Arabidopsis thaliana: one gene and its partners. The protein of the gene in region 4 interacts with the protein of the main gene of each other region in a pairwise test. Each region holds a gene or a part of one and is shown on either strand. Other genes may lie near its edges.

Region 1 (4,042 bases), on a different chromosome or scaffold from region 4:
TCTTTCTCTGACTTGACAATCCAAGAGAACTTTGATGTTCTTTCAAGCAAGAGTGCTATGTTGTACACTTTTCGGTGGATATCGAATCATAATAAACTTTGCAAACTCTCTCATGTCACGGGTTCATGCTACAAGAACAGCTTCAAGGAAAAGTTTTCAAAACATTATTTGGACAAACCCAACAGTCAAAACTCAAAACATTATTCAGACAGTTTTTCTAAGGAACAGGAACAACTATAGAGAGGTTTGTTTGAAGCAAGTTGAAAACCCTACCTAAACCATATGATTCAGCAAGAGTATCTATCATGCTATTATAATCTTTAATTTTTTTAGCAGTCTAGGAGGGCTAGAGAAGAGACCGCAGCAAGGAAATAATTGAAATGTGAAAACTTGAAACATGACTTACTGATTCACAATTTAAGAATCTTCAAGTACAAACCCACGTCTCTCTAGAATCCTTGATAAAATACTCTTTAAACCTGCAGAAACTGCAAAGAGCTGGATAATAACAAAGTGCTATATACAATGTCTCAAAAGGTATGGCGCTAAACAAAACCAAATACATGATATATCTCTAAAAGGAAGATACATATACTTGATAAAATGATTCAGCAAGAATATCTAGATGGATGCAAAGCACATGTTTGATAATCTTCTTGTAACTACTAGCTTTAGCTCAGATCGTTATAATCTGATTTGTCCACAATTGAACAGCCAATAGAAGAAAGACCATACACCAAAGAAACCCTTAATGTAGTTAGAACTATCAAGTGTATTGAGGAACATTATGCACATGGAGAACAAAACAGAGTATCTAGACAGTTGGTTTCTTGATACAGGGCTAAAGTAATCGGCTTTGAACAAAAGTCTTTACAAGTCTCAAGTAAAAACTTTTGACATATGAAACTGATATATACTTCAATGATCCGGTTCGAACATTTTACGAGAAAACTATAATTGAAACCAATTGATCATATGATAAAATAAATTGACAAGAATCAACAGTTCCTTTTTAACCTTTAGTTAGCACTCAAGAGAAACAAAAGAACTCTCAAAACTCTTCTTCTCTACTCGTTCTTCCAAGCATACAGAATCAATGAAAACCCAAAACTTTGAGATTTTGAGCTCGTGGGGACCTGTGTGAAAGACCAGGTCTTTTCAACAGATTGACAAGTCCTGAACATAAACACTGCATTTCCTGGTGATGATGGCAACCCAAAGAACCAACTGTGGACATCCCAGAGAACTTCCACAGAGATTCTATTGACAATTATGGTATCGTTGCCACGGAACTTCCAATGAAGCCGCTGCACTTGCATCAAGATCTTTCCATCGACACGAACAATGAGACAAGGATCACTGAGACTAGTGTCACACTCGATCACAAGATCATGAGTTTTGCCATCACCTGAAAACTGAGCTTTAGTTGCAAACGTTCTCTTGCCAAAGACATGCTCTTTCTTAGCAATGAACACAGCACCTAAAGATGAAGAAGGTGCAGCATTCGTCTTTTTAAAAGCTTCTTTCTTCATATCACCAAGAAGAAGAACCATCTCTTTGTCAACAACAACTCCAACATAGAACCCTCCTAAAGGTTCAGGGCTGGATCCAAATTTAGCAGACGAGAGATCCCAGAAAACATCGATATTACAGGCATACGCCTCTAGAGTCTTGGACCCTTTTCGTTTAGTGAAGAGCCACGGCTTAATCTCGACTTTACACAGACTTCGGTTGCAAGAATCATCAACCCCCACGGTAACACACTGACCCATCAGATTCTTAGTCCATGTGACTGTGATCAAGCAAGTCCTACCTCGGATGCGGCAACGGTAGATGCATATTACCAAATTCTGAGCATTTCTTCCAGCGCTCGAGGAAGACGAAGAGTCCGCAATCTGAACACCATTTTCACCAGAGCAAGAAGGAAAATCTCTCATTTTTTTTTCCTTACAGAATTCCCAATTTCGAGCTTCTCTCTCTCTCCGGAATTTCAACAAACACCTTGTGGCCAAAACTGGGCAACGCTGAGAAATTCAAAGGCGGCGAATTTAACTTCAGTTTAGTAACGAAATTTCGTAAAAGCAAGTGTTTAGACTATAGGATTTACCTGAAAGTGATAAGTTTCATCAAAAGAAAGAGAAACCCAATCTCAAAAAAGCATCGAAATCTGGAAAAATGTCAACAGATTTGATCTGGGTTCTATCAAATCGATCCAGTTTCATCAACCAAGGAGAGAATGAGAAGTTAAGAGAAAGCCTGAGACTCCGGGAGAGAGAGAGAGAGAATGCACAAAAGGCGAAATTCGCCAAAATAGAAGAGAATGTGTGTGTGCCTACTACTGTAGTCAAAAATAAAAGACAGAAACAGACAAAAAGGAAACTTTGTTTTCACTGTCTGAGTCATTTTTTCTAAAAACGTTAAAATAATTACCCGATTTTCTTGGCAAAGTACCAAATTCGAATTTAATTCAGCGGAAAACGACTGTAACAATAAATTTCGGACAAAAACATTATTTACATTCTTTTCTTTTTTACATCATCTTAGATTTTAATCAAAAAATTTACAAACTTTGGTTCGAACTTTGTTATTTTTGACACAAATACTCACATTTTCTTCTGTGCTTTAAGTTAAATAATAAAGGGTTTTAACTTTGTCTCATTATAGTGAATTTTTTATGTATATTCTTAAAAAAAAAAGTAGGATAAAAATTAAAAAAGTATATGAAAGGCTGGAAGGAATGGTTGCCACGTGTGGTATGATAACCATTGGTATCTCATGACTTGTAGTAGGCATGTAGTTAATACCCACGATTGAGCCCACTCTCACTGCTCTCTTGGGCTTTCGCTAATGGATTAATTAGTCATATACCGTTTTTAGAGGTAGTTTAGCGATTGAATTTTTCATACGATAATCAATCATATGTCTTGACTCTTCATTCCATTGTCAACCAAATAGGTGGGTGAAGAGCATATGTTTAATTATCAAAACGAACAAAGTTATCATACCAAATAGGTTAAACTGTTTCCTTTTGTTTGGCAATGCTACCGCAAAAGTCTTGGAATAATTAATTATCATTATGTATGTTTCCGATTGAAATTTGGACCAACCTGTAATAAAGCAGGTCCCAGTAGTTTAACATTATTTTCTTGGGATCTGATTTTTTATTTTTTTATTTTATCGTAGTCTCATTTTCGTTATTAATATTATCGTGTTGTTGGTGTCGTTTGTTATTTTATACTAGTATTGATTTAAAATTAATAATATGTCTCCCTATCTACTTGTGAGCGACGGACATCTTCTCAAAACAGAAGATAAAAATGCAAATAAAAAATCCTAAACATTGACAAAGATTGTAATTTGTAGGATGAGTCGTTTCTTTCAAGAAGCTATAAAATCTTAAAAACGTTAAAACAAAACAGAAATAAGTGATACTAGGATTTAACCCGTGGTACACCACGGGACAAATATTTTATTTATATATATAATAATATTAAATTTTATGGTTTTAATTTAATATTAAAGTTATATAATTTTATATTAATATTGTAAATAAAAAATTAGTGATGATAAAATAATAAATAAATATTTAACCCGTGTTATATCAATCCAAATCCGCTTCACTATATAACTTGTCTCATGATATTTTTATTATTATTTGTTTTTTGGGCAAAATATTTTAATTATTTTAGAAGTTTAAATTTGGAAAGATTTAAATGATTTTAAGTTAATTTTAAGTTAGTGTGTAGTATATTTTAGTTTAGATTTGAAAAGATTTAAATGATTTCTGTGACTATTTTTCTTTTTGTTTTCTAAATTTTAGTAACAAAATTGATTTATATTTAGATTTAAGAATAAATTTATTAAAATATTAAATGCCAATAGCATTGGATTGTAAATAAACCTCAATTTCAGGATTTATGGATTTATTTCATAAAAGTGTTGCAAAAATATATATATATAGATGTTGCCAAACAAAAATATTGTTTTGGGTCTCAGCCTTTTTAAATACACCAGCCCATATTTGATTCGGATTATCATTTCT
Region 2 (4,190 bases), on a different chromosome or scaffold from region 4:
TTCAAGATATAAGCAAATTGTTGAAAATAGATTATGATGATGATTTGTTAAAAGTGCATGAAAACTAAACAGTTAAAGCTTTGCAAGCGTGAGAATACTTATGATGGGTATACATATAAGTCTGAAATTACACAACCCATGTCGACGTCTACTGTTTATCATATATTTATTTTGAAATGAGGGGTAATCATATGATCTGTAATTCGATATGTTCAATCAATTATTTCATACAAGAATAAAAAAAGAGTTGAAATTTTGTTTTTTTTTTAAGACTAGAAAGCAACCGACAAGGCTAAGTTAATAGGGTATAAGGGGGTAGATTGAAAAAGAAGTAAAACTTTGTTACAAGTGGAACTCATAGATTATCATGAGATCCATTTGACCATTAATACATCTAAAGGACAATAATTTAACTCACCTTCTTTGATGCCCCCCTCCATATTTTTTGTTCTTCCATCATTTTTTTTTTTTGTTGTTAAATTCTCCTAACATTTTTCCTATAACAAAGAAAAAAGTTTGAATAGAGTTTTTGATATTGGCTGCTCATATATTTAAAGGAAGACAATTGTACCAAACTATTTGACCATCTTTGGCTCTTCTCTATAAACTGTAATTACATGAACGGGCAATCCATATTGGTTGGTAAATTTAATAATTTACGTTTATTGAATTGTCCCTGGATAAAGACTAAACCAGAAGAATAATCACATCTCACAATTTTATAAAATTGCAAGATCATCTAATCTAAAGTAAACCATACTGGAGTAGCTCTCAGTCACATCAAGCTTCTTACAGAACCTGATTCATCAGAAAGCATCTGCCTAATGCTCTGGAAGAAACTCAACATTGTCTCCTCAGCTTTAGTATCTGCAGAAGACAAAGATAAGCTCATTAGAGTAAATTAAGAAGAGACAGATCTTATGTTACTTATTTCAATTGCATATTTCTCCAAAAAAAATCAGAGCTTAAATGATCAGCCTTTCATGCTTACTAACCGAGTTTTGGTATAATGTGTCCACCTGAATGATGGATCACCACTGGCTCTACGAATGATTCTACAAGCACTTCACCTTCTATCTTCAGGAAATCCCTCTCACCTGCAGCAAAACCGATACAGAATTACAAACAAGTTGTCTCTTATGTCATATCAAATGTTGTAGGAGAGAATCTCTAACGTTAACATGTAGTGCTGCAGATTAGATTCTAGTCTAAACACTCCCATGCCAATCTTGGCTACACTAAAGGCACACTACTAACGTAAGCTTCAAACAACAGAAACTTGGCATTACAACATAACCGAGAAATCAAGTCAAGAACATGCGCAACGTAGTAACAGTTTACCTATGAAGTGGAGTGATGGGCAACGAACTGGAGATGAGAATGCATTAACAGCAGCTTTAGGCTCCCCAAACATCAACCCTGGAATTTTCGCTCCAGAAATGATAACTAAAAACTTGACTTTTGGCACCTTAGTTAGAGCCGATCCCTACAAAACAGTTTACAACATCACAGACTTACTCAAACTATTAAAACAACATGTTTCATTCTTCAATTCAGATTCAACCTCTCTGTTGCATATAAATGGTTTCAACATCACACACTTGCTCAAAACAGAACAATAGAAAACTACTCTAACAATAGGTTTCATTCTTCAAAATATCATAAGCAGATTCAATCTCAGAACCAGGATTATGATCAGTTATGCAGTTATGTACCTGTTCTTGCATTCCAGGAATAGCTGCAGTTAGAAAAGCTCCCTGCAAGAATGGATCAAGAATCAACGGTCCACGATCCTCCTGCTGATATATATGAAAGTGATCAGTACTAAAATCTCGCCAAAGAATCAAAACAAACCTGAGAAAAACCAAGAAGACCATCAAAAGGTCCATTCTTTATCATGTAGTCCTCTATATAAGCCAAACACTCTTCAAAATTCCTATATTCCTTAAACCCCTGCAAACACACACACACACAAATCAAATTATGTATACAAACTTAGACCAAATCTCTCTGTTTTCTAGAGAAAAAAAACAACCTTTACTCTGATAGTGTTAACAGTGTCAATGATCAATACTGAATTCAAGGAAATTTAGGATTTTGTTGCAACGAACCTTGTTAGCCTGGTACCACTCGTAATACGGTGGGTCAAAGAAACGCTCGACGTCCGATTTCCCGGTGGCCGGAAAAGGAGCGTCAAGGAAATCGAGGTCGAGATCTCGGAGAATTGTGTCCGGCCATTTACCTATACCGGCTTGGAGAATCCGACCACTAGTTCTGAATCCATGAAGGCATAAAATTCTAGGGTTCTTCGGTTTCAGGTGAATTTCCGGCGCCATCGCCGTCGTTAACCGTAATCCCGTTTGGAAACAAGGATAGGAGTATCCTAACATCTGACAAGCTCTAGCTCTCTTCTCAGGTTTCGAATTGTCCTTGTGCCCTAACATATCGCTTGTCGCGAAAGTTTTGGTAGAAAGGCCCAAAACTCTATAGGCCCATAAAGAAGAATCCTTTGAAATCAGTTTCGCAAATATCGGCCCATATCATTGTTTATCTCTTATTACAAATATTTTCCAAACTTTCAAGAGTTACAATTACAAATAGATCAATATATATATAGACAATGAAAATTATGTATGGAGAAGCTTACTCGAAGAAATGAGAGTTTTCCACTAACAAAAAAAACTTGTATATTCATCATAATCTAACTTTTTTTTAGATAATCCAAATCATGCTTTAAATTATGTAAAGTTCAGTTAGAAGTGAATACATGTTGCTCTAAGAGTTACAACAACATAAAGCCAGCACAAAACTCATGCTTTAGCATTCTCTTCCCCTAAATAAATATATGCTTCTTGGCTATATATATTATTAGACACGCATATGGGACATCATGTTTTTTTTTTTTTTTTTTTTTACAATTATCAAGAAAATGGTTTGGAGTCGAGGTGGTCTTTCGGCAATTTTGACTGCAGCCGAAGCCAAAGATAAAGAAATTTCGACATTAAACCTCAACAGTTTTTTCATATGGATTCAAAGCAAACTACTATGTATAGATTCATTTTTAACACTTAATTCATCCTCTAGGAATCCCACACTGATGTAATCAAATCGTATATATTGCAAATGAACTTTATAGCATATGTAACAAAGCAAGTTATAGTGCATATATAACGAACTTGTCGTTATCATCTGAAACAACCTGTAATGATCTTCTCAATTCTTTATATTGATGTTCACACTAATGAAAATAAAGTTGGATGCAAATATTTTGAACTTTTAGTTAGGGATTAATCAATCGAGTCAGTGCAATAAAAATTGTAGGTATAGTGTATAATCGTCGGTTGGTTTCGCATCATATGGGCCTCATAAAATTGCCAACTATAATTCAGTTCATTTTGTCAAATACCGATTATATTTTAATTTAATGATTAATACGAACCTTCTGGATTCACTGTAAAATGACCTTTACAGGCTATCAAATGTCTTCTTCCGTTGTTATGTTATGTTGTAATGTATATGTACCCGTTTTATTTGGGGTTATAATATTTGTATTTATTATTCAACTATATAAAATTCTCTGACAGCTATCTCCAACTCTTGTTACTACTAGCAACAAACACAAGAGATAGTAATGGACAAAAGAAAATAAATAAAACGAAAAACAGCAAATATCCAACGGTAACGACAACAATAAAACCATAACCAGTAATCAAAAATTATCCCGATAGGTCTGCTACGCACATGGGATATACGATAATAACGACATCGTTCTTTCTTGATAGATCTGTATTTTTGTCATTAAGGTTCATCGTATACGGGCAAAGAGATCGTTACTATTTACTATATCAGAAAAAGTATACTATTATTATCGGTGGGTGGATCGATTAGACAGTAAGACAAACATGATACAATATTCAATACTACTTCATTATACGTTTTCTCTCTCCAATTATTATTGACAATCATGATTCGATTTAGCTAAACCAATCCGGTCTTCTAAAACCATTGATGATTTTATACTCAACGGATAGAATTGGTTCTCAACTTCGATTTCTCATCTACTATACTTACCAAATCATTAAAAAATGACAAATTTACAACTAAGAGCTAAAAATTGAGTTAACCTAAAAATCCTACAAAATTATATATATACATATATGCGACTACATTATAGTGATAAAATGATCTAT
Region 3 (4,444 bases), on a different chromosome or scaffold from region 4:
TCTTTTAGGTATCTTGTACCAGCTGATCTAACAGTGGGACAATTTGTATACGTGGTTCGTAAAAGAATCAAGCTTGGAGCTGAGAAAGCTATTTTTGTCTTTGTTAAGAACACATTGCCTCCAACTGGTAAGAGTTCTTAAACTCTTTAACACCATTCAGGATCAAAGTTTCTTTCTTTACCACTAACTTTGGTTTCACTTTTGTTTCTTAACAGCTGCATTGATGTCTGCGATCTATGAAGAACACAAAGATGAGGATGGGTTCCTCTACATGACTTACAGTGGAGAGAACACTTTTGGATCTCTTACCGTTGCTTGAATAAAAATCGATCTTTGGATGACTTTGATGTACATACATAAATCAGGAAGATAAAGATGTACATTGCTTCCTTCTTTTCTCTGGCTTTTAACTTTGCTTTGGATGTTTGGATATCTTTCCCTTTGGGTTTATTAATCGTCAGAAACTTCTCCTTTTCTTACTTTCCTCTTTTGCTTTTACTTAAATAACATTGATTTTGGGGCTAATGAGTAATGAGTCACTTTCATATCAAACTTGTTCATATCCATCACAAAGGCAAAAAAGGAGTAATACACTGAAAATTGGTAAAAATAAACTCACAAAAGGCAAAACCTTGGCGTAATTATTTTTAACCACAGCTATACAAAAGGCTAAAGCTCCAAATAGAGATTCTCATCTTCACCTTCTTCATCTGTTCTAGCAATCTGGAACGAGACTGGATGGTCTATTATTGATCTCTTCGTCATCGTAGAGTCGGCGGATTTTATTGCGGATTTACCGAACAAGATTCAAGAAAGATGTCAAAGAATCAACATCTCTCTTCTCTGATGGATACTTGATTGGTCTTGAAGAGTTCTTTGGGAACACAAGTATTGTTGGAAAGCTTCCAAGCTGCAACTCCTTTTTGGCAAAGTCCTTCTGGTCACCATCAGCTCTAAACTTAGCAACCTTCACACCACTTCCTCCCAGCTTATCCGCCAATTCATCGAATGAAGCTTCCATTGCCTGACAAAACGGGCACCACGGTGCATAAAGCACAACGATCCAAGCCTCTTTCCGGTTCTCTAACTTCATCAAATTCTCAATCCCTTGCCTGCTCAAGTTCACAACATTCTCGCTATTGAAGATATCCGCGACTGAGGCTGTCCCGTTGACATTAGCGGTTGCGTTTCCATTGGTATTCTCCTTGATATTCCCTTTGTGAAGGCCACACTCTTTAGCCTTAGCATCTTCCCACCACCATCTCCCTTCTCTCTCATGCTGACCCGGCAAAACCGCTCTCGTGCATGGCTCACATCCGATTGAAACATAACCCGCAGCGTGAAGCGTGTTGACAGGAACATCCATCGTCCTCAAGAAATTCCAAACATCATTCCCTTCAACATTAGCAACCGGATTCCACTTCACCAAACTACCAACTCCACCATCTAATCCTTCAAACACTGGATCAACCTGAACAACAGGAATCTCCGATCTTGTCCCGGGTGATTGATCTTTCCTCTGACCAGTGATCCAAGCACGTAAACCCTTCAACGCACGCCTCAAAGGTCTCACCTTTCTAATACGGCAACACTCCTGGTGACCATCTTCATAGAAAGAGAACAAACCCTTGTTCCTAACTAAAGCTTGAACCTCAACAGCATCAGGAAACATATACTCAATCCGAATACCGTAATGTTTCTCCACGGTATCGAAGAGTCTATATGTTTCTGGATTCAATCTCCCTGTATCCAAACTGAATACCCTATAAGGTCTTCCAGTTAAATGAGCATACTCAATCAGAGCAACATCTTCAGCTCCACTGAAACCAAACAAAACAACAAATCAGCAAACTAAAGGAAAACAAAAACATTCCTTTATTGTATTCTCATGATTCAATTCATTACCTAAAGGCAATAGCAATGTCATTCCCAAACTTCTCAAGAGCTTTATCCATGATCTCAAGAGGAGAAGCATTCTCTAATCTCTTTGCTAGTTCCTCAAAGTCTTCAACTTCCACCACATCTAGCTTCTCTGTAACCTCTGTTTTGTAATGAAGCACAAGATCATTAGCATAAACCTTAATCAAATTAACCAATGATCAATTGAAAAATCAAACCAGAACTTACCAGAAGCAACAATGGATTCCTTTGTAATTGATTGCACATTAAGAGCTTTCACGGAGGATCTCTTCCCGGACAAACTCAGAGAAGCCGCAGAGACATTGGTACGATTCAATAACCTCAATGATCCGATTTTTGTTACTGTATTGAAGAATCAAACAAACAAATTGAATAAGATTCGACATTGATCGAATTTGAACGAATTTAAAACCAAAACACAATGACCAATCAAGGCATTTCTAAGATTCTCCACGAATTTGGTATTGAAAATGAAATAAATTACCTTTGAGATCTGAAGAAGGGAAGCTAGAGCTTGAGATCGCAGAAGAAGAAGATGAAGAAACGTTGATTGCTAGTGCCATTTTCACTCCAAACCAAATCTCTCGAAACAATGTTCTTAAGTTTTTTTTATTTTTGTGTTGTGTTTTTTCTAATTTTGTGTTCTCTTAAGATTTGTTGAGAGAAATGGGATTATAAAAGAAGCAGCTGAAATTTAGGTTCATTGAACCTAGACGTCTTTTTTTAGGTGGCGGCATTTGCTTTTCTATATATCATTGCTTGCGTCACTTTGGTCGTGTGGCAGAGAAAACTAGTCAACTTTGGTCCAAGAATTCTTTTTTTTTCTATTAATGTAACATACACTTATCTCAAAAACATTTTACACGCTTAATTTTATTTTAGAGCTAACAAAAATAATCTAATAATAAATTAATCTAATTTGTAAAATATAAACATGGTGATATGTTTGATTATTAATTTTAGATAAATACTTTCTCGTGTATTCTTTCCTTAAAAATCCGAAAAAACGATCATATTTATAGAATTAACTAAATAAAAACAGTTGAGATTTTCTTTCACTGAGATTATTTTTCGTTTGTTACGATTCTATCATTTAGTTTAACTTATCAATTTATCTACAAAACCTATCGATCTCTTCATTTCTTCTAGAAATTGCACGAACCGATATTTCATAAACCATATTTTACAGTCAAAATTAGTCTTGGTTGAAAAACAAATTCCGATCCTAACCACAAACACTTTTGGGTTCTGTTAAAAACAAACATAAAAAAACATCATACAAAAGTATATCAGAAGCAAACTTGTGATCTTAAACCTTCCAAGATTTCATAAGATCAACAAACTAAATTATTCTTATTCATCAACCAAGTCTATAGTAATCATGATCTCAACAAATCAATTACTTGTCTTCTTTAGCTTTCTCTTCTTCCTTCATCTTCTTTTCCCACCTTCTCTTCTTATAATCAAGCAACATCTGAGGCATCTTCAACATAAGCTTCGCAGTGTTCTCTCTTTTCTCAGCTGAAATTCTATCACATTTATGCCCTTTCCTCTTTGTCCTCATAGCTTTCCTCTCTGGATCATAAGGCCAATCTTCTCCATTAGTCAACACTTCTTTCCTCAGCATAGCCCTCCTTCGTGCACTTATCCCTAACGGTTTCCATGCTCCCATCTCCCAATAACCCCACACACCTTTCGTCAACTCGGTTCTGTACTTATCGAGTTTCGCCCTCCATGGATGTTGAAACCCTGTCACTGTCTTTGCCACAGCTTCTGCAGCTTTTCCAGCCATAACTTCTGCATATGCCCAAAACCACAATTCTTTAAAGATGATAATATCTCATTGTAATCCAATTAGCTCACAATAAGTTAAGAAACCTATAAACTTGCTAGCTAAAAGCAGAGGAGATCAATTGAAGGAAGGTATTATATGATAGTGATGCATAGAAGCAAAAAGATACAAACTTTGAATCCAAAGAGAGATTTGGTGATGCATAGAAGCAAAAAGATACAAACTTTGAATCCAAAGAGAGATCATAGTGAGAGTGAACTTGACACAACATTTCTTACAAATCAAACGCAGATTGGTTGAAATGTTGTTAAAAGAAGAGTCTTTGGAGACTAATTCTTGATTTACTACGCAGAAATGTGATGCAAATGGATCTAAATCCTCTAAAATTAGGGTTTGATAAGCTCAACGCAAGGATTTAGTGACTGGGTTTCGTTAACTAAACATCATCACAATCGATTTCGATTCCAAATCTAAGCCTCTCGAGTACGGGAGCAACTAGGTTCATCAATCTCTTATAGCTTAATACGAATCTACTTAGAGATCGATACGAAACTTGGAATCGGAATGAGAGAAAGAACTTACATAAAATTGGAGATCGGAGACTGTGAGAGCAACTTTGAGAACGCGGCGCTGATGAAGAACGCAGACAAGGGTTGGGTTTTTTGGCGTTAGTAAACCCTTTTCCTATTTCTTTTTTGTTTTCTCACCCAAATTATTTGTAATTACTTAGTA
Region 4 (4,595 bases):
CTCCTCGAGAAGCCTCCTCCACCCTCTGGAAAAACTTTCTTCTAGCTGATCCAGGGCCACTTGAGGAGGAGGAGGATAGCTGCAGTGAAACGCCTGGACCTGCCTCCTGGATTTGCTCTGTGTGCCGTCGTATTTGTGGCCCAGGTATTGCTGGCCAAGGCGTTGATAATTTCATCACGCATCTCTCTACTCGAGAACATGAACTCAAGGTAATTTAAGCATCCTTGCCACTTGTTTAACTATATTCTCTCTTTCTCAGTTGTTCTTTTCTTTGCCTAAATTTGACCCCGTCTGTCTTTTTCCTCGCAGCGTCAACGCTTTACTAACCCCAAAGGTGAGCCTCCTCTTGATTCTTGTCCGGAGAATGCTACTAGGGGTGGCAACCAAAGTTGATCATATTATGTTTTTGTATCTCTTTAAGGCCATTTAGCTAATTGATGGCTCCAAGTTTTTAATTCCATAATTGTCATTTTAAATCTCAATTTATGAAGGAGAAGACCTTTTCATTGTACCTTTTGTGCATTTGTTACTCGTAAATTGATTAATGAATAAACAAATGACCATCCAAAACTCAGATTTACGAGGAAGAATCAAAAACTTACAAAACAAACGTCATAACGAATGTACAATTATGGATGTGCTTATATAAATCTTAGTCCTCGATGTTTAGATGAAAGTACTCTTCAAGAACCCCTCTAGGTGTCCTACCAAATCCCTTGGCTACTTCTTCCATTTCTTTAAGCTTTGTGACTTCTTTTCTAATCTGATCCAATCTCTTCAGCACATTCGTCATCAAGCTATTCGCATCTGTACCTGATACTCGCCTCGACAGCTCTGACTTCTCCTTCTCGAGCTGCCTATACAGATCACTCAGACATTCTTTCTGAGCATGAAGTTTGCCTTCTGCAATTTGGTACTCAAATTCCTGAGCCTTTCTCAGCGCTCTTAGAACCTCGCCGATTTCTTCTTCGAGTTTGTGCATCTCAGCCTCATGGTTGAATGGTATGGGCCCAATTGGAGTCACGTCCTGTAAACTTTGCAATGTATCATTTTCTCTAGCTTCTCCACTGTCGGAGTAATCTACAACCAGAATGAAGATAATCTGTTATAATGAACAATAAATCAACTTCAATACATATTCAAGTCAAAGCAAAGGATCGTGATTAAGGGATATGTACCTGACCATATAGTTGGTGTATCATCATTCCAGAGATCTTCCAAGCTCGTGCCACATTTAAGCTGAAAAGAGTTGGCTTTAGTTTCAGGAACGTCCAGTAAACATTACATTTTACAAAGTATATTATACCTTGATGACTGTTGATTCGATACAATTTAATAGCTCCTTAGCATTGTCTCTTTGTGCTCCCCGCAAGATACAAATACCGAGATTCAGGATCTTCTCCACGTCGCCTTGATATTCTACAGTCTGACATATTTCTAGAAACTTGTTGACATGTGGAAACAAGTCCTTTTTGGCGTCACATCGCCTGCAGTAGTATTCAGTATCCAATCCCATGCTGCCTCCAATGGTTCCAGCCAGATAAGCTCGAAGAGCACAGTTCATATGAGCAACATGTCCACATATGTGACCCTCGGAAACCACAGCTTCACATTTGATATAGCTATAGCCTCCATGCTCCAAACTTATTAACTTGCAGCAAAGGATGCAACAGCAATCAACGCAGAACTTACGTTCACCGCAGCAAATGTCACAAGGCATAGCAGGTAAAGTCTCGGCTTCGCACTGTGGCATCAGGCTCCGGCATTTTTCATTACCAGCCTTACAGACCGCAGTATCAGATCCATCATCACGCATTGGATCTTCATCTGAGCTATACACTGGTAACTGAACCTGCTTCTGAGGCAAAACACCTGTCAAACAGAGAACAAATCACCATGCCAAGAAATCAGTAACTTGTTCAGAATGTTGAAACGTAATTCATATGGTTAAGAAGAACTAACAGAAACATGCGATGAGAGAAGCATAAGGAAAAACATAGTAAGTCTACTGGAATTGTATATATTTGAGTAAAGCATCATATAGAGTAAATTGAACCTTGACCATCTCTGCAGGGTATGCTCCAGCTGAAAGAAGCAAAGAACTTTTGAACATCCGCTTCAGGGAAGTGTACACGAATATATCGTTGGAGCGAGAGCCTGCTCCTAAACACCTTATTTTTCCGCAATATTTCAGTATCTAAACCGGGAAGATACTTAGGAGGATATAAGTATCTATCCACGAAGTAGCCTTTACCGCTAATTCTCGGTCCAACCTTCCAATGCCAAGTATCTCCAGGATTAGGCCAATTCTCAGGAGCATAAGGTAAACCTTCACCAGATTCCAATGGACTTACTGGTCTCAGCAGAAGGTGAGGCGATTCACCTATGTTACTTTGATCAATATCCATGGAGTCCATGTTATAAGACCTGCACTCAATCACAAAACCAATGGAAGCAGCTTCAATAAGAACAACATGAAGGAACATTAATCAAATATGCTAGATACACTACTGATATAGCTCAGTTCCTATACACACAAGAGAAAAGGCTCAGCTACAAAACTAATTTTCAATTTCTTAATCCAAACAGAACCAATATTGTCAAGAAAAAGACCCAAATTGAAACGCATGCATAATATTTGTTTAAGAGCAAAACGAGTTTCGATTTCACGGTGAAGCAGAAACTGCAAATCAGGCAAACGGAATCCATTAAAACCGACGAGGAAAGGAAGAAGAGAAACGTACAATCTCCAGAGACTTCAAGACTGATTAATTTCAGAAGATCTCAACGATAGTTACTTCTTTCTTGGCCATGAAAACCTGGAGCTTTAAAACGACAATGGTTGATGCTAGGGCCGAAGTAGGGGCCTTGGGAAGAACAAGAACTCGAAATTCGGAGGAACCAAAGTTTTATTGTAGGGTTTGAGCGAAGATCAAAAACATCAATGTATCAAACATTTCACATTTCAATCATTGGGCCTTCTTGGGCCTATCTTTAAAAAGCCCGGGTCGGGTCGGAGTAATAAACAGTAACCGGCTTGGTTCACAGGGATTGGTGGGTCCATGACAAAATTGTAACATTGCAATCAGGCAGTATTTTGGAGAGTTTGAAAACGATATTGAATGTGACAGTGTCTTATGACAAGAGATATCTACAATGGAGTTTTATGTGAGTCTGATGTTCACACTCGAAAACTTTCACAAGTTGAAGAATCATGTGATTTTGTATCTTGATGTCAATGTTTCCCATTCATGGAGCTTTTGTCGACAAGTTTTGACATGTCCCTACAATATAGCAACAACACTTGTGTGACATAGATATTGAAAGAGAGATAGATATACCCATTCGCATTTTTATAAGATTCCTCTTGTGATAAATCCAATGAAACTATATGATGATTTCAAAATAATACAAAAATAGAAATTGATCTCAATGTACCTTCCAAAGAAAAATGACAACGTGTGGGGCTAAAAATTGCTGTACCATCATATCTGACACCTTGATTCCATTTTTTTTTTATACACCAAACAATGAGTAGAGCATAAAGGCCTTTCGTATTACAAGCATTTATTACTTACCATATTTAAAATAAAAAAACTTACCATATTATTGTCGATCTAGTATATATATATATATAGATCGATATTTCTACGTATAAATAGGGCGATGTTGTGTGACATGTCTCTCAGTCACCACTTTTGGCGGGTTCTCGTCGACAGAGATTGATCAAATCTAATTATTATTGTTGATGATAGAAAGTTGTCATGCATAGATTTCTCAAGCGAGAATATTCATTAATATAGGATTCTCATTTTTTAATTCTTCGCTCTGAAGTTGTAACCTAGTAGCTTGTACTAGGTACATGCCATGTTGTAACATTGGTTAGATATTTGTAAATTTTAGAGGCTTTAAATGCAAAAGATTATATTCGGACTACTCGATCATAAATTTTGGTCTAGTAATCTGCTTGAACATTGATTTTGCGGAGCAATTCTTGATGAGAAGCAATTTTATGATTTTATCCCAAAACTAATCGCGACATGATCATTCGGTGAATTTGTTGCTAGGAGAAACAATGGTCTAAGATAAACTGAAAAAGGGAAGAGAACAAATATTAGTTAAGATTGATCAATGAGAAGTGAAGTGAGTCAGTGTACTTTGCACAAACATCGATCTTTCGTCTTTGAGTCATGAGATGGCCAGTTTAGGTTAGTCCAAACATTGCCTCCTCGTGAGTTCTTGCTGTATATATTTGCAAGGACAATAATTCCTCTTATTTGGCGTTAATTTATTTATTATGTCTAGAGTTCGTAAATGAATTGAAGAAAATTATTTACTAAACAATAAAGGTTTTGCTCTCCCCGCAGAATTTTTGCCTATGACATTAAGAAAAAAAAAGCGTGAAAATATAAAGATAAACAGTACAATTTTGGATTATATTGTTGAAGTTTACTCATATAATTTGTATATGTTGATAATGGAGAAAACATATAAATATTTGCATGTCCGTATATAACCTTATTTCCCTTCTATCAAATCTAAGAAAAAAAACAAATACTTTACGCGTAGGCGCTTTTTCATGTTTAAAGTTTCGA

Evidence for each region.
Region 1: the proteins of AT1G05410 (region 4) and AT3G04860 interact in a two-hybrid assay, tested with the Arabidopsis thaliana proteins (one large-scale study listed by BioGRID).
Region 2: the proteins of AT1G05410 (region 4) and AT5G65400 interact in a two-hybrid assay, tested with the Arabidopsis thaliana proteins (one large-scale study listed by BioGRID).
Region 3: the proteins of AT1G05410 (region 4) and APR3 interact in a two-hybrid assay, tested with the Arabidopsis thaliana proteins (one large-scale study listed by BioGRID).

The regions. Positions count from the first base shown.
Region 1 is NC_003074.8:1,338,282-1,342,323, forward strand, and holds AT3G04860 (hypothetical protein (DUF868)), read right to left. Parts: upstream 2,343-4,042; 5' UTR 2,108-2,342; intron 2,025-2,107; 5' UTR 1,938-2,024; coding exon 1,068-1,937; 3' UTR 546-1,067; downstream 1-545.
Region 2 is NC_003076.8:26,129,648-26,133,837, reverse strand, and holds AT5G65400 (alpha/beta-Hydrolases superfamily protein), read right to left. Parts: upstream 2,556-4,190; 5' UTR 2,445-2,555; coding exon 2,112-2,444; intron 1,954-2,111; coding exon 1,855-1,953; intron 1,758-1,854; coding exon 1,716-1,757; intron 1,487-1,715; coding exon 1,342-1,486; intron 1,098-1,341; coding exon 996-1,097; intron 868-995; coding exon 776-867; 3' UTR 538-775; downstream 1-537.
Region 3 is NC_003075.7:11,656,491-11,660,934, forward strand, and holds APR3 (APS reductase 3), read right to left. Parts: upstream 2,616-4,444; 5' UTR 2,567-2,615; coding exon of another isoform or gene 2,484-2,566; coding exon 2,405-2,483; intron 2,263-2,404; coding exon 2,128-2,262; intron 2,042-2,127; coding exon 1,906-2,041; intron 1,821-1,905; coding exon 794-1,820; 3' UTR 518-793; downstream 1-517. Other genes in the region: APG8A (Ubiquitin-like superfamily protein), read left to right, coding at 9-127, 216-319; AT4G22000 (tyrosine sulfotransferase-like protein), read right to left, coding at 3,320-3,712. UniProt on the Arabidopsis thaliana protein: Reduces sulfate for Cys biosynthesis. Substrate preference is adenosine-5'-phosphosulfate (APS) >> 3'-phosphoadenosine-5'-phosphosulfate (PAPS). Uses glutathione or DTT as source of protons.
Region 4 is NC_003070.9:1,584,852-1,589,446, forward strand, and holds AT1G05410 (CDPK adapter, putative (DUF1423)), read right to left. Parts: upstream 2,944-4,595; 5' UTR 2,745-2,943; intron 2,428-2,744; 5' UTR 2,418-2,427; coding exon 2,057-2,417; intron 1,873-2,056; coding exon 1,307-1,872; intron 1,240-1,306; coding exon 1,179-1,239; intron 1,081-1,178; coding exon 653-1,080; 3' UTR 520-652; downstream 1-519. Other genes in the region: AT1G05400 (uncharacterized protein), read left to right, coding at 1-209, 310-393.